Linked DNA regions of Macaca mulatta. The main gene of each other region encodes a partner of the protein of the gene in region 2 in a complex. Links are inferred from orthologs where the notes say so. Each region holds a gene or a part of one and is shown on either strand. Other genes may lie near its edges. The genes, in order: S100A13 and IL1A.

What was found.
Region 1: the proteins of IL1A (region 2) and S100A13 are in contact, whole or in part, in an NMR structure (PDB 2L5X), measured with the Homo sapiens proteins. The link is inferred for Macaca mulatta from reciprocal best matches to the Homo sapiens genes IL1A and S100A13. Residues at the interface, in NP_000566.3 of Homo sapiens: Asn148, Gln150, Tyr151, Thr194, Ala195, Gln196, Asp197, Leu203, Leu204, Lys205, Glu206, Met207, Gly216, Ser217, Glu218, Thr219, Asn220, His239; in NP_001019381.1 of Homo sapiens: Met1, Arg25, Gln26, Glu27, Gly28, Arg29, Lys30, Asp31, Ser34, Asp68, Ser69, Glu70, Lys72, Phe73.

Annotation. Positions count from the first base shown.
Region 1 is NC_133406.1:113,415,425-113,419,018, reverse strand, and holds the end of S100A13 (protein S100-A13), read right to left. Parts: intron 974-3,594; coding exon 830-973; 3' UTR 733-829; downstream 1-732. UniProt on the Homo sapiens protein: Plays a role in the export of proteins that lack a signal peptide and are secreted by an alternative pathway. Binds two calcium ions per subunit. Binds one copper ion. Binding of one copper ion does not interfere with calcium binding.
Region 2 is NC_133418.1:22,867,398-22,872,004, reverse strand, and holds the start of IL1A (interleukin-1 alpha), read left to right. Parts: upstream 1-1,644; 5' UTR 1,645-1,742; intron 1,743-2,408; 5' UTR 2,409-2,416; coding exon 2,417-2,463; intron 2,464-3,422; coding exon 3,423-3,471; intron 3,472-4,350; coding exon 4,351-4,573; intron 4,574-4,607. UniProt on the Homo sapiens protein: Cytokine constitutively present intracellularly in nearly all resting non-hematopoietic cells that plays an important role in inflammation and bridges the innate and adaptive immune systems.

The DNA.
Region 1 (3,594 bases), on a different chromosome or scaffold from region 2:
GGAGTTAAAAATAGCGCCTTCCTCAAAGGACTGTGAAAATTAACTAAGGCAATACAGGCAGAATGTTTAGCACTGCACCTGGTACTTAGTAAGCCCTCCATACATGTTCACCACTATCACTGTCATCCAACGGACAAGCTCCAAGAAAAAGGAAACACAGCAGGACCATGCAGCTGAGCCCCTGAGTCACCTCTCCTGCCCCACATCTCTGCCTCTACTTTTCTTTTTTCTTTTTCATTTTTCATTTTTTTTGTTTTGTTTTGTTTTCATTTTTGAGATGGAGTTTTGCTCCTGTCTCCCAGGCTGGAGTGCAATGGTGCGATCTCGGCTCACTACAGACCCTCCTCCTGGGTTCAAGTGATTTTCCGGCCCCAGCCTAGCTAATTTTTGTATTTTTAGTAGAGATGAGGTTTCGCCATGTTGGCCAGGCTGGTCTTGAACTCCTGACCTCAAGTGATCCACCCGCCTCAGCCTCCCAAAGTGCTAGGATTACAGGCGTAAGCCACTGTGCCCAGTCCTCTGCCTCTACTTTTCATATATTCATTTAACCATTTACTGGGCATCTGCTCTGTACAAGACCTGGTGCTAGATGATGCGGAATGTTCAAAGATGAATAACATTCCCTGTCCTCAAGGGGCTCATAATTTTCAGATCCATCCTCAGGTCAAGGGAGAGCTTTCCCACCCTCTGGTCTCAAGAAAAGAAATCAGGATGGAGTGTGAGTAAGAAACATTTGTGTTTCAAGGATGAAGCTTTATTTGAGAAGAGTGCAGTTCTGCTCGGCCCTGACCAGCCCTGCCCTGCCCACCCCCATCCCAGCCAGGCGGCTTTACTTCTTCCTGATCTTCAGGTCCTTCTTCTTCCTGATTTCCTTGGCCAGCTCCCCAATCAGTCTCCAGTACTCATTGAACTTGAGCTCCGAGTCCTGATTCACATCCAAACTCTTCATCTTCTCATCAAGACAGCCCACATCCTGAGAAGACACCAAAGGAAAGGGTAGAGTTAGAAACTGGGGTTCTTGAGAAAACAGGGAGGGAAGAATTGCCAGCTGCCATTCTCTCAAGGCCCTTCCCTCAGAGAGCAGTGGCACCTGCCTCTTCTCTAAAGAATGAGGCTGCAGCCCCAAAACTACACTGCCATGGGGTGCCTCTCCAAGGAGCACCAACAGAGAGAGGTAGGGGTCCTGAGTCCTAGTGCTTGCCATTGTGTAAATACTTCCACCATGGCACAAACAGGTTGTCGCTTAATATAAAGCTGGAAAGAAATGCACACAATCTGCTCTCACCAGCACACTGCTGCAGCTGCTGTGGGATCGGCCCAAGGATTTGCCAGCATCTCGGGGAGATGCTGCAGGGTTGGACCCAGTCTGAGCTTTCTGGGGCCACCCTCCTCTTTATCAGAAAGCTGAAGAAGTTCCCAGTACTTAGCTGCTCATTCGCACGACCCCTGTGTCTTTTCATTTATCTAGCTGGGTCACTAGATCAGGGGAAAGACATGGAGTATCTGGGTTTTTAGGGGGCCCTTGACACAGCCTCTCTCATAGGCCTGTGAAATCAATGGCAACAGTAAACCAGATGTCCTGATCGAAGGACCTGTTGCCAGATAAACAAGCACAACCAAAACGTTGACTGTTGAACAATAGTTCAACATCAAACAAGAGAAGGGTGCCTCAGGCAGGGTGTGATGCTCAAGGTTTGAACCAACATTTGGACGCAGACAGAGAAGACTCACCAAATCTCTAAAGGGAACAAAGCTGATTCACAGAAGAGCTAAAAAGACTTTTTTTTTTAAGTTACAACCACATTTAATTATAATATACTACAAGCACTGCCAGTGGAAGGCAAGGATGACTACTGTAACATTATATTGGGGGTGCATTCAATTAGTAAAGATAAATAAGTAAGTATTAAGAAGGAAGAAGCAGGAAGGGTGTGGTGCCTTACGCCTGTAATCCCAACACTTTGGGAGGCTGAGGTGGGTGGACCACTTGAGGTCAAGAGTTTAAGACCAGTCTGGCCAACAAAGCGAAACCCTACCTCTACTAAAAATACAAAAATTAAGCAGGCCAGGTGTGGTGGCTCACGCCTGTAATCCCAGCACTTTGAGAGGCCAGGGCGGGCAGATCACCTGAGGTCAGGAGTTCAAGACCAGTCTGCCCAACATGGGGAAACCCTGTCTCTACTAAAAATACAAAAATTAGCCAGGCATGGTGGTGGGAGCCTGTAATCCCAGCTACTTGGGAGGCTGAGACAAGAGAATTGCTTGAACCTGGGAGGCGGAGGTTGTGGTGAGCAGAGATCACGCCATTGCACTCCAGCCTGGGCTACAAAGTGGGACTCTGTCTCAAAAAAAGAAAAAAAAAATACAAAAATTAGCTGGGTGTGGTAGTGCACACCTGTAGTCCCAACTACTTGGGAGGCTGAATCAGAAGAATCCCTTGAGTATGGGAGGCAGAGGCTGTAGTGAGCCGAGATCAAGCCAGTGCCTTCCAGCCTGGGTGACAGAGCGAGACTCTCTCAAAAAAAAAAAAAAAAAAAAAAGAGCTGAAGACAGAAACAAAACAAAGGCCAAATACCAAATACCATATCGGTATCAGTGGGTTCCACAGCCCTGGATTCAACCAACCTAAGACCAAAAATATTTGAAGGAAAAAATCCACAAAATTCCAAAAAGCAAAACTTAAATTTTGCCCCATGCTAAGTACTACGTTGAATCCATGTGAATGAAGTGATGAGTAGGCATTGCATTATGTATTACAAGTAACCTAGAGTTACTTGTAATTTAAAGTATACAGGAGGATGTGCATAGGTTATATGCAAGTACTATCTGATTTCATATAAGGGATTTGAGGCGAGGCATGGTGGCTCACACCTGTAATCTCAGCACTTGGGGAGGCCAAGGTGAGAGGATCGCTTGAGCCCAGGAGTTCAAGACCAGCCAGGGCAACATAGTGAGACCCCCATCTCTACAAGAAAAGGACAAGAAAAGGTACTGGAGCATCCAAGGATTTTGGCATCCAAGGGGGTCCTGGGAATAATTCCCATGGATACAAAATGACAACTATATATTTCATATTATACCACAGGGATATTTAAAAAAAACTTGAATAAATAGAAAATTAGATAAATATATATTTTTCTTAAAGAGAAAGGCTCAACTGGGTAAAAATGTCAATTTTCCCTAAAATATATCTTTTATATGATCCCAATTAAACTATTTACAGGATTTTTTTTTCTTTTTTTTTTTTTTTGAGATGGAGTCTCTGTTGCCCAGGCTGAAGTGCAGTGGTATGATCTCAGTTCACTGCAACCCCTGCCTCCTGGGTTCAAGCAATTCTCCTGCCTCAGCCTCCCGAGTCACTAGGATTACAGGCACCCATCACCACACCTGGCTAATTTTTGTATTTTTAGCAGGGATGGGGTTTCACCATGTTTGCTAGGCTGGTCTCAAACTCCTGACCTCAGGTGATCCACCCACCTCAGCCTCCCAAAGAGCTGGGATTACAGGCATGAGCCACCACACCCGGCTTACAGGATTCTTTTTAACATTATAAAATGTTACTGGCCAGGCATGGTGGCTCACACCTTTAATCCT
Region 2 (4,607 bases):
CAATGTGCTTTGCAATTGTTCCTTAGCAATAGCCCTCACAAGATTCTCAGGAGGAGAGGGGGTAATCAGGATTAACATTTCTGTGTTGCCTAAGGAGGAACCAAGGTAAGCAGAAATGTAGCCAGTTGGCTGACATCACTGTTCCTTCAGGATTTATCCTTAGACACCCAAGCTTCTACCCTAGTCTGGTGCTACACTTACATTGCTTACATCCAAGTGTGGTTATTTCTGTGGCTCTTGTTATAACTATTATAGCACCAGGTACATGACCAGGAGAATTAGACTGGCATTAAATCAGAAAAAGAGATTTTGCACCTGAAATAGACCTTATGACATCTAACCAATCCTATTATTTATAATTAAACAGGAACAGAGGGAATACTTTATCCAACTCACACAAGCCGCTTTCCTCCCAGATCCACACTTTTTTGCTTTTCTATACCATGTTTTAGTGCCTTGCCTCTTTTTTTTTTCTCTCCCTCTTCTACCTTGTTCTTCCATCCATTTCCTTTGTTTGTTTGTTTGTTTATTTTTTTTTTAGAGATGGGGGCTTCACTACGTTGCCCACACTGGACTCGAACTCTGAGCCTCAAGTGATCGTCCTGCCTCAGCCTCCTGAACAGCTGGCACTACAGGGGCATGCCACCACACCTAGTTCATTTCCTTTATTTAAAATATTTATGGCTTAAACTCCACCTGGGAACATCCATTTGCTAAGAGTCTGGTGTTCTGCCACCTGAACTAGGCTGGCCACGGGAATTATAAAAGCTGAGAAATTCTTTAATAATAGTAACCAGGCAACACCATTGAAGTCTCAGATGTAAAAATCCATGCCTTCCTTTCTCCCAATCTCCATTCCCAAACTTAGCCACTGGCTTCTGGCTGAGGCCTTAGGCATACCTCTAGGGGCTTTCACACACCTTCTTCTACAGAAGACACACCTTGGGCGTATCCTACAGAAGACCAGGCTTCTCTCGGGTCCTCGGTAGAGGGCTACTTTACTGTAACAGGGTCAGGGTGGAGAGTTCTGTCCCGAAGCTCTGTCCCCTCTCCAGGAAATGTGTTGACAATATTCAGAGGAGTAAGAGGGTCAAGACTTCTTTGTGGTCAAATATCACTTTTCTCTTCTCTACCCTGACCTAACCAGGAGCTTGTCACCCCATACTCTGAAGTGATTTATGCCTTAATCAAGCAAACTTCCCTCTTCAGAAAAGATGGCTCATTTTCCCTCAAAAGTTGCCAGAAGCTGCCAAGTATTCTGCCAATTCACATTCAACCTGGAGCACAACCAACAGATTCAGCCGGAACACAACTCCAGCTACTATTAGAACTATTATTATTCATGAATTCCTCTCCAAATCTAGCCCCTTGGCTTCTGATTTCAGGATTTCTCCCTTCCTCCTAGAAACTTGATAAGTTTCCTGCACTTCCCTTTTTCTAAGACTACACGTTTGTCATCTTATAAAGCAAAGCAGTGAATAAAGGAACCAAGTCAATAACTTCTGGAATATCTGCAAACAACAATAATATCAGCTATGCCATCTTTCATTATTTTAGCCAGTATCAAGTTGAATGAACGTAGAAAAATACAAAACTGAATTCTTCCCTGTAAATTCCCCGTTTTGACGACGTACTTGTAGCCACGCCTACTTAAGACAATTACAAAAGGCGAAGAAGACTGACTCAGGCTTAAGCTGCCAGCCAGAGAGGGAGTCATTTCATTGGCGTTTGAGTCAGCAAAGGTATTGTCCTCACATCTCTGGCTATTAAAGTATTTTCTGTTGTTGTTTTTCTCTTTGGCTGTTTTCTCTCACATTGCCTTCTCTAAAGCTACAGCCTCTCCTTTCTTTTCTTGTCCCTCCCCGGTTTGGTATGTGACCTAGAATTACAGTCAGATTTTAGAAAATTATTCTCTCATTTTTCTGATAAGGACCGATTCGTTTTACTGAGAGATGGCAGAATTAGCTTCCTGTGAGGGCATGGGGTGAATACAACTGAGGCTTCTCATGGGAGGGAATCTCTACTACCCAAAATTATTGGGAGAAAATTGAACATTTCCAAGTCTGTCTCTCCCTTACCTCTGTGTAAGGGAAACACCTTATTCTTGTGGTGTTTCTGTAACCTCTTCAAACTTTCATTGATTGAATGCCTGTTCTGTGCAATACATTAGGTTGGGCACATAAGGAATAACAATATAAATAAAACATTCTAAAAGAAGTTTACGATCTAATAAAGGAGACAGGTACATAGCAAACTAATTCAAAGGAGCTAGCAGATGGAGAAAATGCTGAATGTGGACTAAGTCATTCAACAAAGTTTTCAAGAAGCACAAAGAGGAGGGGCTCCCCTCACAGGTATCCGGGTTAGAGGCTGGCTGAGCTGACCGTGGCTGGTGTTCTCTGTTGCAGAAGTCAAGATGGCCAAAGTTCCGGACATGTTTGAAGACCTGAAGAACTGTTACAGGTAAGGAATAAGATTTATCTCTTGTGATTTAATGAAGGTTTCAAGGCTCACCAGAATCCAGCTAGGCGTAACAGTGACCAGCATGGGGCCAGGCCGGCAGAGGCTGGAGGAATGTGTACTAGTTCTGAAGTCAGAGCAGGTTCAGAGAAGACCCAGAAAGACTAAGCATTCAGCATGTTAAACTGAGATTACATTGGCAGGGAGACCGCCATTTTAGAAAAGTTATTTTTGAGGTCTGCTGAGTCCTACATGAATTTCAGCATCAACTCAGACACAGCCTCTGTTGAGATCACATACCCTGATATAAGAATGGGTTTTACTGGTCCATTCTCAGGAAAACTTGGTCTCCTTCAGGAATAGGAAATGACTCCACAGCAAGCTGGGCATGTGAACGCAGATACGCAGGCAAATCTCACTCATATGTAGAAGAAAGGTAAATGAACACAAAGATAAAATTACAGAACATATTAAACTAACATGATGTTTCCATTATCAGTAGTCAATACTAATGCAAACTAGGCTGTCAAAATTTTGCCTGGATATTTTACTAAGTATAAATTATGAAATCTGTTTTAGTGAATACATGAAAGCAATGTGTAACATATAATCTATTTGGTTAAAATAAAAATGAAGTGCTTCAAAACCTTTCTTTTCTCTTAAGGAGCTTAACATTCTTCCCTGAACTTCAATTAAAGCTCTTTAATTTGTTAGCCAGGTCTAATTTTTATAGATAAAGCACAGGTAAAGCTCAAAGCCTCTCTTGATGACTACTAATTCCATATTAGTAAGGTATGAATTACTCTACCTATGTGTATGTGTAGAAGTCCTTAAATTTCAAAGATGACAGTAATGGCCGTGTGTATGTGTGTGACCCACAACTACCGTGGTCATTAAAACACGTTGGCCAGAGACCAAAGTGAAATAACAAACAATTACATTCTCATCATCTTATTTGGCAGTGAAAATGAAGAAGACAGTTCCTCCATTGACCATCTGTCTCTGAATCAGGTAAGCAAATGACTGTAATTCTCATGGGGCTGCTATTCTTACACAGTAGTTTCTTCATCAAAAGAGAACAGCAATGACTTGAATCTTAAATGCTTTTGTTTTACCCTCACTAGACGTCCAGAGACCTGTCTTTCATTGTAAGAGAGACCAGCTGCCTTATAAAGTTGATGTGCATTGGCTTCTCCCAGAACAGAGCAGAATTATCCCAAATCCCTGAGAACTGGAGTCTCCTGGGGCAGGCTTCATCAGGATGTTAGTTATGCCATCCTGAGACAGGCCCCGCAGACCGCTTCACCAGGGGTCTGTCTCCTAACATGATGTGTTGTGGTTGCCCTCTCTGACACCAGCATCAGAGGTTAGAGAAAGTCTCCAAACATGAAGCTGGGGGAGAGGAAGCAAGCCAATTGAAAGTGAGAAATCTACAGCCACTCACCAAGCTGTGTCATTGTGTTTGGAGACCACAAATAGACAGTATAAGTACTGCCTGGTATGTCTTTGGTACTGGCTTTAAAAGCTGTCCCCAAAGGAGTATTTCTAAAATATTTTGAGCATTGTTAAGTAGATTTTTAGCCTCCTGAGAGGGAAGTAATTGGAAAGCTACCACTCACTACAATCATTGTTAACCTATTTAGTTACAGCATCTCATTTTTGAGCATGCAAATATATGAAAAAGTCTTCCTAAAAAATCATCTTTTTACCTTGGAAGGAGAAAGGAAGGTGAGACAAAAGGGAGAGAGGGAGGGAAGCCTAATGAAACATGAGTTACCTAAGACCAGAATGGAGATCCTCCTCACTACATCTGTTGAATACAGCACTACTGAAAGGACTTTCATTCCCTGACCACGAACAGCCTCTCAGTTTCTGTTTTCCTTCCTCTAGAAATCCTTCTATGATGTAAGCTATGGCCCACTCCATGAAGGCTGCATGGATCAGTCTGTGTCTCTGAGTATCTCTGAAATCTCTAAAACATCCAAGCTGACCTTCAAGCAGAGCATGGTGGTAGTATCAACCAATGGGAAGGTTCTGAAGAAAAGACGGTTGAGTTTAAGCCAGTCCATCACTGATAATAACCTGGAGGCCATCGCCAACGACTCAGAGGAAGGTAAGGGGTCAAGCACAATAATATCTTTGTTTCA